Rhinolophus ferrumequinum: one gene and its partner. The protein of the gene in region 1 purifies or fractionates together with the protein of each later gene. This does not show direct contact. Links are inferred from orthologs where the notes say so. Each region holds a gene or a part of one and is shown in the gene's direction. Other genes may lie near its edges. The genes, in order: PIM1 and EDC3.

Evidence for each region.
Region 2: the proteins of PIM1 (region 1) and EDC3 purify together in Homo sapiens (affinity purification with mass spectrometry; 3 studies listed by BioGRID and IntAct, counting the BioPlex papers as one, with this or other methods). This does not show direct contact. The link is inferred for Rhinolophus ferrumequinum from reciprocal best matches to the Homo sapiens genes PIM1 and EDC3.

The regions. Positions count from the first base shown.
Region 1 is NC_046286.1:6,943,023-6,952,309, forward strand, and holds the start of PIM1 (serine/threonine-protein kinase pim-1), read left to right. Parts: upstream 1-5,305; 5' UTR 5,306-5,757; coding exon 5,758-5,839; intron 5,840-5,945; coding exon 5,946-6,052; intron 6,053-6,159; coding exon 6,160-6,210; intron 6,211-6,301; coding exon 6,302-6,668; intron 6,669-8,160; coding exon 8,161-8,337; intron 8,338-9,099; coding exon 9,100-9,257; 3' UTR 9,258-9,287. UniProt on the Homo sapiens protein: Proto-oncogene with serine/threonine kinase activity involved in cell survival and cell proliferation and thus providing a selective advantage in tumorigenesis.
Region 2 is NC_046289.1:99,280,746-99,290,384, reverse strand, and holds the start of EDC3 (enhancer of mRNA-decapping protein 3), read left to right. Parts: upstream 1-5,629; 5' UTR 5,630-5,768; intron 5,769-9,639. UniProt on the Homo sapiens protein: Binds single-stranded RNA. Involved in the process of mRNA degradation and in the positive regulation of mRNA decapping. May play a role in spermiogenesis and oogenesis.

The DNA.
Region 1 (9,287 bases):
ACATCCCACAAATTCTTCATCATCTGTCGATGGGCACTTAGGTTGTTTCCATGTCTTGGTGTAGCTAACGAAACTTTATTCATTCATTTCCCATGTATTGGGCAATACAAAGAACATAACACAGAGCATCTTTTGCTTCAATTCCTAACATTTCTCACCCCGTTCCCTCTCTCCTTTCTACCTATCCATCTCTTACTCATCCTTTAAGATTCATGCTAAATTCTAATCCTCCATCCTTCCCTGACTTCTTCAGCCTCCTCTGAACGCTGTCCTTGTGGATGATACCCTCAGTTAAAACTTAATCGTCGAATACCTTGTTAAATCCCTTACACTCATCTTGTGTTCCTTGGAAAAGAATGGCATGGTAGATAGGAGGTAGCGCTGCCACTTACGTAGCCTGGGGCAAATTACTTCTGTTTCTCTTTATTTATCTGTAAATCAGTGAGGATAGTAAAACTGCCCATGTCATAGAATTTATATGAGGACCCATATAAAGTGCTTAGGAAAATGCCTAGCACATTTTTGATGCTCAGTCAATGTTGGGTGCTATCAGTGTGTCTCTTTTGCCCCTTTCACTTAATCATTTTCAGCACTTAGCCAGTATGTTCAATGAAATGATGGTTTGTACCCTCAATACATTTATGATTTAGTTGTAGAAACTAAACAAATATGGAAAAGTAAGACTGTATACTATTAAATGCCAAACGAGATACACAATAAACAAATGTTTTCATTAGTATCTTTTTAGTGCCTAGAAACGTACCACAAAATCTTTTTGAGCAATTTCCCCCCCCCCGCCCCTTTCACCTAGATGCACTTTGTGGCTTTTCGAATCTATAGAAGCAATTTTATTTTTACTTTTTAAAAGATGGCAGATGATATCCTTTCTATTTCTTTCTTTCTCTCAGGGTTTTTGTTCATGTGCCTGGTCTTTTTGATCTGAGGCATACATTTTCCTAGTCTTCTAATAAGATATTTTATAACAGTTTCCAGGTTTCCTGTAGGCTTTATACATCCTAAACCACTCCTTTTTGTTTTTACCTATCCACTAATATTCAGGAGCTATAAAATCTTTGTGTACAGTGCCTTCAATAAATATTGATTATTTTTGATTATTTTTACTCAAATTATCAGTACTGAATGTGTAAAATTCCAAAAAAAATTTAGGTTATTTTATTTCTTTAAAAAAATGAATTGGAAATGAATTTAAATATACTTTACTGGATAAAACACTCTCTTTCTCCAACCTTGCTGAGGAAACTGAAAGCTGATTAAAAGAGATTTATAAACTTGAAACAAATGTCACATGTTATCAAGGACAAGAACCAGTTCTAACTTGACTGCACAGATTCCCTGACCATTCTGAAGTTGACACTCTGAATTTCCTAGCTGTCCATCACTACCACAATTGCTACAACTTAAAAAGGAGGCATTAGTCTTTTTAGAGTTAGACTGTTTCACGTCTTACAGTCTGTAGTGAATTTTCACATATATTCCATGTTCCACATATATGGAATATATGTGAAATTTAAATTTTTCCAAATAATCTTAAACTGTTGAAGTAATTGGAAATATTTTAAGGTATAGAAACAAGTGTATTGCAATTGGCATTCTCCAAATTTCCCCTTTTTTTCAGCAAACGAAAGAATACAAAAAATAATGGTGATTTTTTTTTTAAAGAGGGCGCAGCTCACAGTGGCCCATGTAGGGACCGAACTGGAAACCCTGGTATCATCAGCACCACGCTCCAAACAACTGAGCCAACTGGCAACCCCAGTGGTGAATTTTTAAAAATTAAACTTAAAAAATTTACTAATTCTTTTTTTTTTTGTCGGAGAGAAATTAGAGCTGCAGACCCAAATTATTTCTACCCGCTTAATTGCAAATAGCTTACACAGACTTACACAGAAAAAACTATACAGCAGGCCCTTCAATAAGGTTGTTTCCTTCAATGCCGTTTTGTTATAATGTTGATGTGATATCGTAAAAAACTTATCTCTTAAACTTAACTCTTGTTTATGTCAATTAACCTATGGTAAAATTGCTTTCATTATGCAGTCCTTTCGCTGCAATTCCCTGAATCTGTCCATGATGTTAAGCGAGGACTTAAAGTACAGACCTAATTAATGTAAATGTATCAACTAGACTCAGAGGTACTTTAAAAAACAATGTACAGGCACCCCATTCAAACTTATTCTAAACTTCTGTGATTACAGAAATTGCTGAAGTCATTCCTTTGACAATGGCTTGATTAAATCCATAACAGGTAGAATATGGAAACCATCTAAGGATTAATTTGGCTATTGTTCAAGTTAACAATAACATTCTCCCCTTTCCAGAGAATTGTTAGCATAATCATGGCCTTTATCTTACCAAAAGCACTTGTCATTTAATAATTAGCATGATTTTTCTGAGTCTTTGAGACAGCACAGGTAGTGATTGTTTTATTATTTAAAATATATTTTGGTGAATCAAAACATCAAGTTCCCTGCCCTCAAAAAATAACTTTTAATGCAAAACATACTTGAAGGTTTAATAATTATCTTTAAAAGTGGTTTTAAGTCAATAAAAGCTCTTTTCCAAACAAGGTCCATGTTTTGCAACTTCCAGCTGTGAAGCACCCACCATATAAAGCAGGCATATTAAATGTTAATCACTTTAGCTCTAACTAATTAAATATTTAGGCCTACAAAGATCTAGAGAAAGTGAAAAAGGTTGAACTTGATTTAATGTAGACAATTATTTTGAATTATATTCTCTCCAGAGATGATTAAAAATCAAACCATTTATCCTGAATTTTACATTTGGAACCTCCAAAGTGCAAGACTATTCCAAAATTCTTCCGTTTTATCATCGTCATAATCAGAATCAGCATTATTGCCATATAGCTAATATTTATAAGTTCACTCTGTGCTATTATATGAGCATAATTTTGCTTTACATGCAGAATTTTGCTTCTTATAACAGCTCTATGAAGTAGGTGCTATTATTATCTCCATTTAGTCTAAAGCTGAGAAAGGTTAAGTATCCTGACGAATATCACATAACCAGTAGGTGCCAGATCCCAGATTTGAAAGCAAGCTAAATTAGTCTTCTAATCTTTATTTTATTTTGTCTAAGCATGCTTAATTCACTTATATTTAGTATAATTTAAATTGGACTTTAATTTGACTTTAATCATGACCTTTTTGTTGGGACCCATTTTGGTCTTCCCCTTCATCACCAAACGTTGGATTAAGTATACGTTCAAGGAATAGGGAGACAACATATAAATAATTGAAAAGTTCATTAACACAAAGATTAAAAAACCGCCAAATACATGATTGTCAGGTGAGTGGAGTGGACAGTGAACGAATATTGGAGTTTAGCAACCTGGGTGGAACTACCATTGTATCCTGGTGGCTGTAAAAGCTTTAAATAAAAGAGAGGCCATTCTCAAGACAGGTTGACTGCTTCTGTAAAGGCAGAAAGTCTGGAAAGTGCTAAGTGAGTGGGAACAGGTGGGAAGAGTCCACCAGGGCTTGAGAAAAGAAAGAGCAGAAGAGATGGAAATGGGGTTCACATACATTTATACTTGATGTCTTAATACCAAGGACAGTTTTAGATCCTGATAAGAGGAAATGTTTGACTACTCTGGAGTTGAATTTGGGTCATCTCATCTCTTCCTCCTTTAGCTGTTGTATGACCCTGTGTCATTCTACTTATGTTTTATTTTCCTATCTGTAAAAAGGGAATAATTCTTGTTTCCTTGGGTCCTAGTCCTCAAAAATGAATGAGTTAGGTCGCAGTACACAAACAAAGGGAAAATATGTAATATTTTATAAGATAAAAAGAGTTGTGAAATACCTGGGCATTTTTATAAAATAAGCACGGTAGAAAACTTTTAATGAAACATTTAAATTCATTAATGATTTGTAGGTACACAGATCCTTCAACCGCCTATTTTTTAAGTGGCAAGAACTTGAAAAAAAATTAAAGTAAGATGTAGTTGGCTTTCACTGACAATTCAATTTATGGATTACATAGAATTTTAATTTACTCATTTCACACGTCGTTATCAATTCTACATAGAGTTAAAGGACAAAGGATGAAAAGTCGAATTGGTCAGTTTTCCGTGTTATTTCCAGGGGGGACAGGGAGAAAGATTTCCTTTGAGACAAGGCTGGGGCAGCCAACAATTTCTAGCATTGCCTGACTGGTAACAACAGGCTGATGAAAAGGTGAATAAATATAACGTGAAACTGATTAAATAAAGCGCACCCTCCCACCCTCGTTTTAGATGAGGAATTTTCCTCTCTCCCGCCCTCACGCAAAGGGCTGAGACAGCATCTGGCATCACAATACTAACATTTGTTTCGTGATTTCCTCTTTACGGGGTACTCAGACACACATCACTTCTTAGGAATCGGGATTCCTTTCTGCATTTTTAAAATAAAAATCTGCTTGAGAATCTGGGGGCTGATTCTTCTTTTTACTGGCCGTGACATTCGCGATCTGGACCCCTCCTCCGAACAAGCGGAGTTCTCCCCCAGTTTTATTCCAGGCCTGTGCCACCTCCACTCCCTCCGTGAAACGCCGTGACTCACATCTTGCGGATCCTTCGCCCCCCACGCGCCCCCAACACACCAACCCCCGAGGACCCAACTCGAGCCCACAGTGTGTCGTCAACCCGCCCAAGCCGACTTGGAGGTCTCGGGTCTGAGTCACACAGAAAGACCACCCTCGTCGGCATCCCCCCACACACACAGTCCCTCACACCCTGACGCGCCGGCCGCCGGGCCTCCCCGCCTGACACGCCAACGCCCGTCGTCTCTGCGTAACTTGTTATGCTCCAGCTCGAGCCCTTGACCCAAAAACCTCCGAGAAACGGAGAGCCGCAGAGCCGGCCTCTGGCGGCCTTTGAAGGCTTTGTTATTGTTTGGGTTTGAATCGATACGCCCCTCCCCATCCTTCCTCCCTCGCGGCTCGACACCCAGCTCCCGCCTCCCCTCACACCCCGCGCCCCTCCCCCTCCATTTTGGCGCCTTTTCCTTCCCGCCACGTCGTGGCGGCGTAAGATCATTCTGACCGCGAGAGCTGGGCGGGGCGTGGGCGGGGCACGCCGTGTTATGCAGATCAGTCGGCTTCTGGTTGGCTGGAGATGCGCCGGCGGGGGCGGGGCCGGGGCGCGGCGACCGAGCGCGCGGGGGGGGGCCCCGGGGGAGTCTCCGGGTCCCGCCGCTTCCCCACCCCCTCTCCTCCCTCTGCAGGGCCAGCAGCCCGGCTCCCCGCCTAGGCCTCCCAGAGAGGCCCCGCCTCATCCCCGCCCGCCCGCGCGCCCCCCCGCCGGCGCGCTCCGCCCCTTTACTCCTGGCGGCTGGGCGAGCCGGGTGTCTGCTGCAGCGGCCGCGGTGGCGGAGGAGGCCCGAGAGGACTTGGCGGCAGCGGCGGCGGGACCAGCACCAGCAGCAGCAGCAGCAGCAGCAGCTACAAGCCCCCTGTGCCGCGGCCCTGCCACACGAGTCCCACGAGCCTCCTACCCCGTCGCTCTTAGAGCTGCCTGACCTCGCCGGCCAGTCGGCCAGCCGCCAGCCCCGGCAGCGCCCCCAGTTGTCCTCCGGCTCGCCCTCGGCCTTCCGCGCCAGCCGCAGCCACAGCCGCAACGCCACCCGCAGCCCCAGCCAGAGCCGTAGGCACAGCCACCGGCACAGCCCCAGCCCCAGCTCCTGCCGCAGCTCCTCCAGACACAGCCCCTACGCCGACACCCTGGAGGTTGGGATGCTCTTGTCCAAAATCAACTCGCTTGCCCACCTGCGCGCCGCGCCCTGCAACGACCTGCACGCCACCAAGCTGGCGCCCGGTGAGCGTCCCCCCCAACCCGGGGATGGTGGAAGGCTGAGCCCCCAGGGTGGGAGCTGGGGGCTCGCGGGCCGGCACTAAGTCCTCTGTGTCTCCCCCTTTATTAGGCAAGGAGAAGGAGCCCCTGGAGTCGCAGTACCAGGTGGGCCCGCTACTGGGCAGCGGCGGCTTCGGCTCGGTCTACTCAGGCATCCGTGTCGCCGACAACTTGCCGGTGAGTGGGCGCCCCGCTGTGGGGAGGGCGTTCTGTTGGGGGCGCACCGGTGTGTTTTGGCCCCGGCGAGGGGGATCTAACGGATACTCTCCTGGGGTGATTTCCAGGTGGCTATCAAGCACGTGGAGAAGGACCGGATTTCCGACTGGGGAGAGCTGGTGAGTGCCCAGGAGGGAGCGACCCCCAGTGTGGGTGGGTTGAGGGGCGCCCCCCGACTCCCGCCCTAATGCAGCTCCCTCATCCCCGCAGCCCAATGGCACCCGCGTGCCCATGGAAGTGGTCCTGCTGAAGAAGGTGAGCTCAGGCTTCTCCGGCGTCATTAGGCTCCTGGACTGGTTCGAGAGGCCCGACAGTTTCGTCCTGATCCTGGAGAGGCCGGAACCGGTGCAAGACCTCTTCGACTTTATCACGGAAAGGGGGGCCCTGCAGGAGGAGCTGGCCCGCAGCTTCTTCTGGCAGGTGCTGGAGGCCGTGCGGCACTGCCACAACTGCGGGGTGCTCCACCGCGACATCAAGGACGAGAACATCCTCATCGACCTCAATCGCGGCGAGCTCAAGCTCATCGACTTCGGGTCGGGGGCGCTGCTCAAGGACACCGTCTACACGGACTTTGACGGTGAGCCAAGGCTGGGAGGGAGCTGCCCAGGTGACACGGCCTGGCCTGGAGGCCCCGGCCAGCTTCCCTCTCCGGCCCTTTGTAAAGGTCATTGGGCCGCCTGGCTCCAGGCTAGCAGGGGTGGGGCGAAGAGAGCTTCCCCGCGTAGTAAACCCGGGTATTTCAAGCCAGCTGAACCCGTAGTGTTTCTGGCATGATTTTATATTTTAAGTGGAATTCAGTGGGTTCCAAGCTTTCCCGATGAATAAGAGGTTGTGGGCAACCGGCCGTAGCCCAGATTTCTGAAGTCTGACCCAGTTTCCCCGCCAGTAAAAGGACGGGAGGGGGAAGAGGGAGGAGAGAGCGGGAGAGATGAAAATTGATGCCTGTTTTGTGATTTTTTAAGAGAGTTTTCTGTAAGGTAGTTTATAGAGCTGCAGTTTTTTTCACTCCTTTGATCTAGGGACGGATAAGAAATAGAAACAGTTTCACTAAATAATTCATTTTGTTGAATTTGTGTGTGTGTTGTGCGGTGAGGGAGTCGAGAATGAATGTTGTGAAATAAGATCTCTTGCTGGTTTGAAAATTAGTTGGGTGTCTCCGCAGAGAGGATGAAAACCTATCCTAGGGAGGGGCTTGGAGCGGGTTCTTTCAGAAAAGATGGAATGGAGAGCCTGACATCAAAGCAAAGTAGGGCGGGTCATCATCTGAGCGGCTTAACCTAACAAACGACAGCCTTTCAAAACTTGTGACTGGGGCTTGTGGTTTGTGTTTATTTGCCCTTGGAGGACGCTGGGTTGGGCTGCATTTTTTTGTATTTAACAGTTAATGGCTGGCCGGGTCCTCCCATGATTTTTTCCTTTGAGTCTTTGCTGCCCTCTGGTGAGCACCAGAGGGATGGCCTCCCCTTTTTTTTTTACAACCCAAAGTTTGTAAACAGGAATCACGTGGTCTGAAACCAGCTCTGCAGCTCTGTCTACCTTTCCAGTGTGGGGAGGAAAGGGTGTGGGTGTCTTCCCCCTGCACTCAGAGGGCGGGAGGAAGGCCTCCCAAAGGGCACCCTGACTTAGGGTATTGTGCAACTGTCCCCACCTAGATCATTGATGAGAATCCCACCCCAGCTCCTGGGCAACCTTTAATGCAGTTTAAGGATAGTCTGTGGAATACCTCCCTTGATTGTTCAGACATTCACGTCTTCATCCCATTGTGGGTGGTCCTGCCACATACAGGCCTCAGGCTTTGGGTCTGTGGCCACCCATGTTTGTTTCTTGGAGCAGTTTGTAAAAAATTTCGGTTTATGGTCTGGGCCTGGTAGAGAGGTGGGTAATGCTTTGGGTTGGAGAGATGCCATAGGCCGCTTATCCACTCCTTTGAGCCTAGGAGGGAAAATGGAGTTCACCCAGCTCCTGAGAGAAGGGAGGCGATGCTTTTTGAGTTACTCAGCTTACTACTCAGTTGCTTTGTGTCCTATTTTCTCTAAAAGCTTGTTTTCCTTCCTATTCCCCCGCCTCAGGGACCCGAGTGTATAGTCCTCCAGAGTGGATCCGCTACCATCGCTACCATGGCAGGTCTGCGGCTGTCTGGTCTCTGGGGATCCTGCTGTACGATATGGTCTGTGGAGATATTCCTTTTGAGCATGATGAGGAGATCATCAGGGGCCAAGTCTTCTTCAGGCAGAGGGTCTCTTCAGGTAACTTCTGGGAAGCCCCTGGTTGAGAAAGCAGGAATCACAAGGTGGTTAGTCCTTTGAGGACAGTCTTTGAATTTTGGAGAGCTTGCCTCCAGGAGATGCCAGCCAACCTTTGGCTTAGCAGAATCCTCGGCCAGTGATTCACCCTGGAGAGCTGGCCCCCAGCAATCTAATGGTTAGCATTTGAGCATTCCTTGGGAGGTCACTGGAAGAGCAAGTAGGAGAGTGTTAAGAAAAAAAGACCATCTAGTTTTTTGATGAAAGGTTCTTTAAAGTACCAACAGAGCCATCCTGGTGCCTCACAGCCCCTGGCTGTTTTGCCAGGGAGGGAAACGTTGAGGGCTCCTTGAGCCTTCTTTCTCCCTTAAGGCAGGCTCTAAATATTGCGGTTCCAGTGACCTCATTGTGGGTGGTGTTCGTATTTGTAAGTTGGTAGGTGAATTGAATCACCTCATCATGCTCACTGATGTCTCATCAAAATCCCTTGTCATCATCTTTCCTATTTCTGGTGAGTGGGCGTCGTGGGAAAGGCCCCAGCTATTGAAGTTTGAAAACCACAGGTTTAAGAGGGGAGCTGGTTTTTTTTTTTTCAGCTGAAAGCAGACTCCAGATGTTAATACCTTCTCATTAAAGAATATGAGTTCTAGAAAGTATGCGGTCTCTGGACCCCAGACTTGTGGGCCCCTGGGAAGCAAATTGGGAAGAGCTTTGCATTACACAAACAAGTTGAATCACTCATAACCTCTGTCTTGTTTTCTGCAGAGTGTCAGCATCTCATTAGATGGTGCTTGGCCTTGAGACCATCAGATCGGCCATCCTTCGAAGAAATCCAGAATCATCCGTGGATGCAAGATGTCCTCCTGCCCCAGGAAACCGCTGAGATCCATCTCCACAGCCTGTCGCCAGGGCCCAGCAAATAACAGCTTTTCCAGTAGGTCCTCCCCTCCTGT
Region 2 (9,639 bases), on another chromosome or scaffold:
GTTTTTGATATAAAATTCAGATAACATCAAATTTATCCTTTTAACCATTTTAAAGTGTACAATTCAGTAATTTTTAGTATATTCACAATGTTGTGCAATTATCACTATCTAATTCAGGGGTGCCCAACTGTTTTCACCGTTTTTCACCAAGGGCCATATGCGGTAAAACACACAAACAGCCGGGCCACTCACTCGAGGTGAAGTACGTATTGCCTCACCTGGTTTATTTAAGTAAACTGAATATATTTTTGGAATTTGCTGCGGGCCAATTAACAATGGATCATGGGCTGCAGTTGGCCCGCGGGCCGCAGTTTGGACACCCCTGATCTAATTCTAGAACATTTTCACCCCAGAAAAGAAACCCCAACTCAACAACAAAAAGACAACTCAGTTCAAAACTTGGTAAAGGACTTCAACAGACATTTTTCCAAAGAAGATATACAAATGGGCAGTAAGTACATGAAAAGATGTTCAACATTATTAGTCATTAGAGAAATACAAGTCAAAACCAGATTGAGATACCACTACTCACATCCATTAGAATGACTACAGAAAAAGAATGGGGAATAAATGTTGGCAAGGATATGGAAAAATTGGAAAAAACCTTCCTGTATTGCTGGCAGTAATATATTAATAAATTGGTTCATCCACTGTGGAAAACAGTTTGGTGGTACCTGAAAATGTTAAGCACAGAATTACCAAGTGATTTGGTGTATCTACTTCTAGATATATGCCCAAGAGAATTGAATACAGTTGTTCAGATAAAAACTTGTACATGAATGTGTATACAAAATGCGATGTATCCATACAATGGCATATTATAGAGCCATTATATAAAAAAGGAATGAAGTACTGTTACATGCTTCAACATGTAACATGAATGAATCTTGAAAACATGCTAAGTGAAAGAAGCCAGTCACAAAAGACCAAATATTGTTTGATTCCATTTACATGAAATGTCTAGAATAGAAATATCTATAGAGATCCCATACCCATTTTAAGTAGTCACTTCCCATTTCCTCCTCCACCCTGAGCCCCAGTAACCTCCTACTTTTTGTCTCCATGTTTATCCATTCTTTTGTTAGACATTTAGGTTGTTTCCACCTTTAGCTATTGTGAATAGTGCTGCTGTGAACATTCTTGCACAAAATTTTGTTTAAACATATGTTTTTAATTTTCTTGGGCATACACCTAGAAGTGAAATTGTTGGGTCATATGGGAATTCTATGTTTAACTTTTTTTTAAAAAAGACTTTATTGGGAAAGGGGAACAGGACTTTATTGGGGAACAGTGTGTACTTCCAGGACTTTTTTTTCCAAGTCAAATTGTTGTCCTTTCAATCTTAGTTGTGTAGGGTGCCGTTCAGCTTCAAGTTGTTGTCCTTTCACTCTTAGTTGTGGAGGGTGCAGCTCCAGGTCCAGTTGCCGTTGCCGTTGCTAGTTGCAGGGGGCACAGCCCACCATCCCTTGCCGGAGTCGAACCGGCAACCTTGTGGTTGAGAGCCCTCGCTCCAACCAACTGAGCCATCCAGGAGCTCAGCGGCAGCTCAGTTCAAGGTGCCGTGTTCAATCTTAGTTGCAGGGGACGCTGCCCACCATCCCTTGCGGGACTCGAGGAGTTGAACTGGCATCCTTGTGGTTGAGAGCCCACTGGCCCATGTGGGAATCGAACCGGCAGCCTTCGAAGTTAGGAGCACGGAGCTCTAACCACCTGAGCCACCGGGCCGGCCCCTATGTTTAACTTTTTGAGGTACTGCCACATTGTTTTCCACAGTAGCTGCACCATTTTACATTCCCACCAGCAATGCATAAGGATTCTAATTTCTCCACATCTTCACCAACACTTACATTTTTTAATTTTTATTTTTAATTATAGCCATCCTTGTGGGTCTTAAGTGGTACCTCATTGAGGTTTTGACTTGCATTTCCCTAATGATTAGTGATGTTGAGTACCTCTTCATTGTTGGTCATTTGTATATCTTTTTTGGAAAAATGCCTATCAAGTCATTTGCCCATTTTAAATGGAGTTGTTTATCTTTTTGTTGTTGAGGCGTGTGTGTTCTTTATTCTGGATACTAGACCCTTATCAGATATGATTTGCAAATATTTTCTCCCATTCTTTAAGTTGTCTTTTTGCTTTCTTGATATGTTCTTTGAAGCACTGAACTTTTTAATTTTGATGAAGTCTAATTTGTTTATCTTTTCTTTTGTTGCCTGTACTTTTGGTGTTATATTTAAGAAATGCTTGCTCAATCCAAAGTTATTCTTTTTAATTCTAATCTCTGTTTAGCATTTTATAGTCCAGGACCTGCTTTCATGTACATTACCTCACTTACAAAATGACATGTAAGAGTTTAAGACACTTAAACCTTTTAGATCACATAAAGCAAAAATAATCTTAAGTAATTAGTAATTTGGGGCTTGCTTAGCCCCCAAACCTATACTAGATAAGTGGGGTGACTTAGAATTTGTCTAAACCAGAACATATTTGAGAGTAAAGGGGGTGATATTGATCCTTATGACAGGGTAATGGGAAGAACTGGGAATGTTTCAGGCAAACCAGGACATATGTTCCTCTATGTGTAAGTAATGGAGACCCAAATCCCAGTATTGGATCCACCATTAACTTGCTAAACCCCCACTTATATTAATGGGGGTGAAGCAGGCCATTTCTAAGGTTCCTTCCAGCTCTGCCATTCTAGAACTCCACGACGTGCCAGCAAGTCAAGGACTGTGGATTAGTGCTGTGCTATTCTCAACCTAAGAATTTATTTAATTCTCCAATGGTTGACGTCCCTGTTGGCGACTGTTACTGGTAGTGAGGACTGCAGCACATGAAAGCAGAAGCAAGTCTCCATACATCAGGAGAGGCAAGTGGGTGCCCCCTTATCTACAGTGGTCCCCAGAAACTTGACTGTAGGGCCGGGAAGGGTCCATCCAGCTCAAACAACTGTCTATAACCAGCAGTTCCTGGTGGAATTCTCTAACTGAGGAGTTTGGGAAGACTTCAGAAGAACTTGGTGAGTAGCAAATTCTGTCACCTTCTTCTTGCCTCCATAGCTATTGTCATAGCTCACTTCTCACCTTCACAGTCAAACCTCTTGAAGTTCTCTACACTCACTGCTTCCATTTGCTCACCTTGCATTCACTCCTCAACCCACAGAAATTTGATTTCTGGCCCCTTCACTCCACGCTCGAACCCCTGTCAGAATCACCAGGCACCTCCTGGTTGCTAAGTCTAATGGACATTTTCAGACTTCCTCGTCTTCACAGTAGTCAGCACTGTTGACGACTCTCTTAAAAGTCTTTTTCCTGGGTCTCTTTGGCATCCTCAACTGCTGGGTTTTCTTGTTTTCCTAGCTACTGCTTCTCAATTTCCTTTGAATCATTCTCTTCCTGTGTGTATCCCTTAAATGCTGGTGTTCCACCAAGTTCTGTCCTTGGCCTTTGGCCCTTCTCATGTGGTGTGTTATTCCTGGACCACAGCGCCCATTACTGGGACTTTAATTACTGCCTGGTTGTTGATGACTTCTAAATCTCATCTCTCTCCTCAGCGCCACACCCCCATGATCCATTTCCCACTAGAGGCCCTAACATGAGCATCTAGTTAGCAGACTCCCTAACATGAGCATGGCCAGGGCAAGAGCACACACGAGATCCCTGACCTGTTCCCCATTTCTTCCCACCCCTATTCCATCCCATACTGTGAGGGGCTTCTCAGGTCCACATTGTGAACATCCCAGCCTAAATATCCAAGCCCCATTCACACTGTTCCCAAACAGCCATGTTTTTGGCCACCCCTTGGGCCTAGGAGTCTCACACCATGGCAGTGAGTTCACCCTCAGGAGGACAAACCTGGGGAAGAGACTTGGCTACGGGCTGAAAGTGGACTCAGGTCATTTGGGAGGACATTTGGGAATCCCAGGAATGAGAAATGGAGCAGGTCTGAAAGTGGGAGTGTGAGCTCTAGGTAATCATGTCTCCTTAGCCCCACAGAGAAAGGCTTGGCTTGAGAACCAGAGTGGGGGCCATCTAAAGTGTGGGATCTAGGGCAAGGCCCCCAGTTTTCCAAGTCTTAGGATTTTTAACTGCTCCCACAGGTACCTTAAGCTCAATATATGCAGACCTGAATTTATCATCTACTTCCTTTTCCTCCTCTATTACTGCCTGCCCACATCCTCCTCATTCTTGTCAATTCCATATCTGAGTAAGTAGCACCACCAAACAATCTTTTGCCTTAGCCATACACCTGGGAGTTGATCCTATCTCCTCAACACCTTTACACCTTGTAACCCAACTTGTAATACCTTAGTTTGGATTGTCATCATTTGTCAATTGGTCTCACTCCCACCATAGTTTCTTGCTTAAACGTCTTTGTTTTACGTTGTCTTCAGGATAAAACCAAGCTCCTTGGGGCATAGAAAGCCCTTTGGATATGGCTCCTGCTTATCATTGTACGTCAATCTATCATCACTTCCTCTTTTTACATATATGCTCCATCCAGTTGAACTACTGTGTTTCCCTGAAAACAAGACCAGGTCTTATACCGTATTTCCCCGAAAATAAGACTGGATCTTATATTAGTTTTTGCTCCAAAAGATGCATGAGGGCGTATTTTCAGGGGATGTCTTATTTTTTCACGTACAACAATCTACATTTATTCAAATACAGTCATGTCATCTTCCTCTGGAATGTCGTCATAACATACTAAATGTGTCCATCTGGCTGACGATCTTAACTGGACCTTTTTTTCAGGAAAACACGGTACTTGTATAATATTTCCCTGGATGGGCCAGCTTACCCACATTTCCTTGGCTATCTCTGCACCTCTTCCTTTACTGGAATCTCTGGTGATGAGGGACAGGAGGGGAGTCCCTGGAAAGTGGAAATTTTATAAAGTTCATCAACTGATTTTGAAAAGTCAGGTTTGGATCGCTGCCCTACTCTTTACTCCCTGTCCAACCAGTGGTTCCCAAACTAGCTGTCAGGCTTCAAGATGACCTCGTAAACTTTAAACTCTAACATTCCTCATTACACTCAGTCGTAGCCCTAAACGCCTGTTTTTTTCAAAATCAAGACTTCCAAAACTAAAATGCCACGGGAAGAGTGGCACTTGCGCGTGTACAAAGTACTTGGGGGCGGGTGACGGGGGTGGTCAAGCATAGACTGGCTGACAACCCCCAAATGAACATAAGCTGATAAACTGAAGATCAGCCACGAAGGGAATTTCTTGTTTCCTATAATCCGTCCGGAGAGCCTACTTATAGCATCCCACAGCTGCCACTGATTAAGGACGGGGTGGCCAGCCCCACTCCCCCCAGTCTTCCGCTCTTGCTCGGAGATTGGCGCAAAGCGGGGAGGGAAAGCCGAAGCTTGTCCTCAAGAATGCAAGAAAGAACGGAGTCCCCCGGCATCTGGGCCGGGGAGGGCGGCGGGACACCGATTCTAACCAGGAGTCCAGCCGCTATAAGTAGAAAGGACATGCAAAACGGCCGCCCCGGCGCGGTTCCGGGAGGCCGCAGGTCTGGCTCTCAAGCTCTCAAATTTCCCGGGCGCCCCGCCCCCCAAAGCCGCACCCTGAGGTTTCCAAGGCGTCGCGCCGGAAGTGACCTCACGACGGCGGCGTGGAGACGCGGGGCGCTTCCGGCGGCAGTGGCGGCCCCGGCTGTGGGGGTGGGCGTGGAGTGGCCCCTCCGTCTCCGGGTTCCGTGGCGCGGCTGGTCGGCTCGGCTTGGTGTGCCGAGGATACACGGGCCCGACGGCGTGGAGGTGGGAGCGAGGGGCGGCGGCTGGTTTGTGGGCGCTCGTGAGAGGGGGCTTCCGGGGTTGCCAGGCGAGTTTGCTTTTAGGTTTCGGGGTTCCAGGCCTCGGAGACCTTTATGGAGGCGGGCACGAGGTGGGGCCACCTCGGGCACGCAGCGGGCCAGGAACTCGGGGCTGCCGGGGGGTGTGTGGTTCGAGGTGGGAGCAGAGGACCGCGGGTGTCCGGACAGTCTGGGAGTTGGCTGAGGTGGGAGGCAGTAGCGGCCTAGGCTCTTGCTTTGGCCTTGTTGATGGCTGCTGCGGCGCGGCCACTCGTTGCTCCGTGCCTCATCTCCCTTTCCACAGTAGGGTAGGGTGGCAGGGAAGAGTGCGAGTGCCACATCCATGACTGAAAGCTTGAGGACCCAGGTGAACTGGGGTCTGAAAGGGAAGGGTGGCGGAGAAATTTATGACACCTGCCAGGGCCCAGCTTCTGCTGAATCCTGGGGTCGGCCTCTTGATTCTTTCTTGGTGGTGGTATAAGTCTGAGCTGCTCATCAGTACTCTGTGTGTGAGATTGATTGACTTGATCAATAATTGACTTGTTGACGTGGTGAACGTGTTTTGGTGTGTGGGAGGCATAGTTCTTGCCTCCTTGGCCAGTTGGTTTTCAATAAATCTCCCAATTCTGGAGCTAGGATCCTCTTCCGTGTTAACATGAGGAACTGGAGACCCAGAATAGTTTTTCTTTTCTTTCCTGGCCTCAGACTAAGGTAATTTCATTCTGCTGTCTGTCGATACTGGTTTTCATCCCATCAAAGCCTAAGTGACTGTCTCTGAGCAAGTCCCTATATCAACTGGAAACCTCAGATGGATTCTAGTCTTTTTTTTTTTTTTAAATGAATAGCAGATAGGTGTACTGAGCACAAAATTCCTGTTTGTTGGTTTCTTTGTATGAAGTGAAGATGGTTATAAATAATGTAACTTTTTGATTACTAAGAATTTTTTGATGGCGCTTCCTTGTGGGAGTAGGGCTGCGGAACTAGCAAAGTTTCTCTCAAAGTTTTTTGAGGGGTGGATGGGTGACTCGGTTGGAGCGCGAGCTCTCAACCACAAGGTTGCGGGTTGGAGTCCCACAAGGGATGGTGGGCTGTGCCCTCTGTAACTAAGATTGAACACTGGTGACTATAGTTGGAGCTGAGCCGCGTCCTCCACAACTAAAATTGAAAGGACAACAACTTGACTTGGAGCTGATGGGTCCTGGGAAAAACACTGTTCCCCAATAAAGTCCTGGAAATACATACTGTTCCCCAATAAAGTCCTGTTAAAAAAAAATTAAAAAACAAAAAACTTTTAAATTATGACCCAGTTAGGTACATACTAACTACATCATGACTCAGTATGCCCCCTGTATGCACAGTGTATACACACACACACCACAAAAGTTTAGCCTTTCTACATATGAGGCCCTCTGACACCATTTCATTGAAAGAAAAAAAGTTGATTGCAACTCACTTACATTGACTACTAATGGGCCTGAAATGGGCCTGTAATTTGAAAAACACTGGACTAGAAAATGTTTAAATCCTTGTGATTCATTTCTAAGATTCTGCAGTTAATGCACAGTGGAAAATGTGTCATTTTTCTGTTCTTCTCAGCCAGAGTAGCAGTTACTCAAGTTATAAATTCAGCCAGAACAACAGGGCAGGACATGCAAATGGTGGCCCAAAGGAATGTAGTATGCATAGTGATAGTGTGTCTGTTTTAACAAGGCATTTGTTAAGTCTTTTATGATGGCCCCGTGAATTAGATGGAGGAATTTGCCAGATTGTGTTAAAATTAGATGGAGTCATAACTTTGAGTATCTGTGTCTGAGCAGTTTGATCCCACTTATAGCTGGGATTCTGTTGATCTGAGTTGAGACTCTGTCACTTTGTTTATATACAGTATGTTTTTGAAGTCTTATCTGGAAGGTGTGCTATCAAATATGTTGCCTTAATGAAGTGAAGAGAGAAAGTATCATCTGGTTAATCTCAAGATTTTCCCAGTGCAATTTAATGAAATGGAAGGGTTATATAAACGTGAGGAATTCCCTTGGATCCAAAAAATTCAGTTATACCAGTTAATGTAGAGATGGGACTTAGGAGGGGCTCACGTAATAAAAAGAAGTGGAGTCTCAGTCATCTGATTCAGGGGTGTGGTTAGACTGGGAGAACTGGTGGGGCCTGCAGTCGCTAGTTGCATTAAGGGAACGGAAGGTCTAGAATGAGGGAGGTACATCACTTGACCCCGGAACTGGTTGGCTCACACCTGGAATATTAGGTTTAGGTCTGGGTACTCTGTAAGAGTAAATTAATTTGGGGGTAGTAGTGAAAAGGAGTTGGAATTTGTCAGTTTTAAAAAGAATTTATTATTGGCTGTCTGAAGATACGGTGGCATTCCTTTGGCATGAGTAATTCTTTTTCCCCTTGTCATTTCAGGCATATTTGGGGTCAGTGTAGTCTTAACACATTTTTGCTTGAGAGTGTCCAAAACATTGGGAAATTTATGTATCTCTTACACACTTTTAAGTTGGCATCTGAAATTTTTCGTAAATTTAAATAGATTAAACATTTAATTTTTAAAAGTTTAGGGTGTAATTTCTGACATTGTGAATATTGACTTTTTAAAAATAAATACAAAGTTATCTAAATATAATAGCAATTTTATGTTTTAAAAATATACAAATAGCCTTTCTTATATAAAAATAACCCCTCTAAGATATGTATAAATGTGTATTACATTACTTGATTTTCACATATTAAGCCAATCTTTTGTTTCTGTAATGAACCCCATTTAGTCATGATGTATAATACTTTTTATATGTTGCTGAATTCAATTTGCTAATATTTTGTTAAGAATTTTTGTGTCTGTGTTCATGAGGGATAGTGAGCTGAGGTTTTCTTTTCTTAGACTGTGTGGCCTTAGTATCAGAGTAACACAGTTGACCCTTGAACACTATGGGTTTGAACTGTTTGGGTCTACGTATATGCAGATTTTTCTCAATATACAGTCGGCTCTCTCTATCTCTGGGATTCGCATCCACGGATTCAACCAACAGTAGATCACAAACAGTATTTTCAATTCGCGGTTGGGAATTCATGGATGTGGAGGGTCTACTGTGTGCATTGTTTCATGCCATTTTATATAAGGGACTTGAGCATCCGTGGATTTTGGTGTCTGCGTGGGTGTGGCCATGTCTTGGATCAATTCCCTGTGGATACCAAGGAACAGTGTTAAGCTTTTTGGGAGTGAAAAGTTACACTCGGATTTTTGACTCCATAGGAGTTGGTTCCCCAAACTTCTGCATTGTTCAAGGGTCAACTGTACTACCCTCATGAGTTGGGAAATCTTCCTTTTATATTTTCTGAAAGAGTTTGTGTAGGATTGTTAATTATTTCTTTCTATATGTTTGATAGAATTTACCAATGAACTCCGCTGGACCTGGGCTTTTCTTTGTGGTGTTTCTTTAATTTACTAATTCAATTTCTTTACTTGATACAGGTCTATCCCCATTTTCTATTCCTTCTTGGTAATTTTGGTAATTTGTATCATTCTGGGAATTGTCCATTTCATATTTTTCCTTTTCCTTTTTGAACTTATATCCATTTTATTTTTCCCACAGAATTTTATCCTAAAGCAGGAGTCAGCAAACTTTTTCTGTTTGGGGCTAGACGGTAGGCTTTGTGGGGCACGTAATCTGTCATAACTACTCACTCAGCTCTTTCATTGTAGTGTGAAAACAGCCACAGACAACAAGCAAACAGCTGAGCATGGTTGTGTTCCCATAAAACTTTATCGGTAGTGAGCCAGATTTGGCCCATGGGCTGTAGTTTTCTGACCCCTGTCCCGAAGTAAT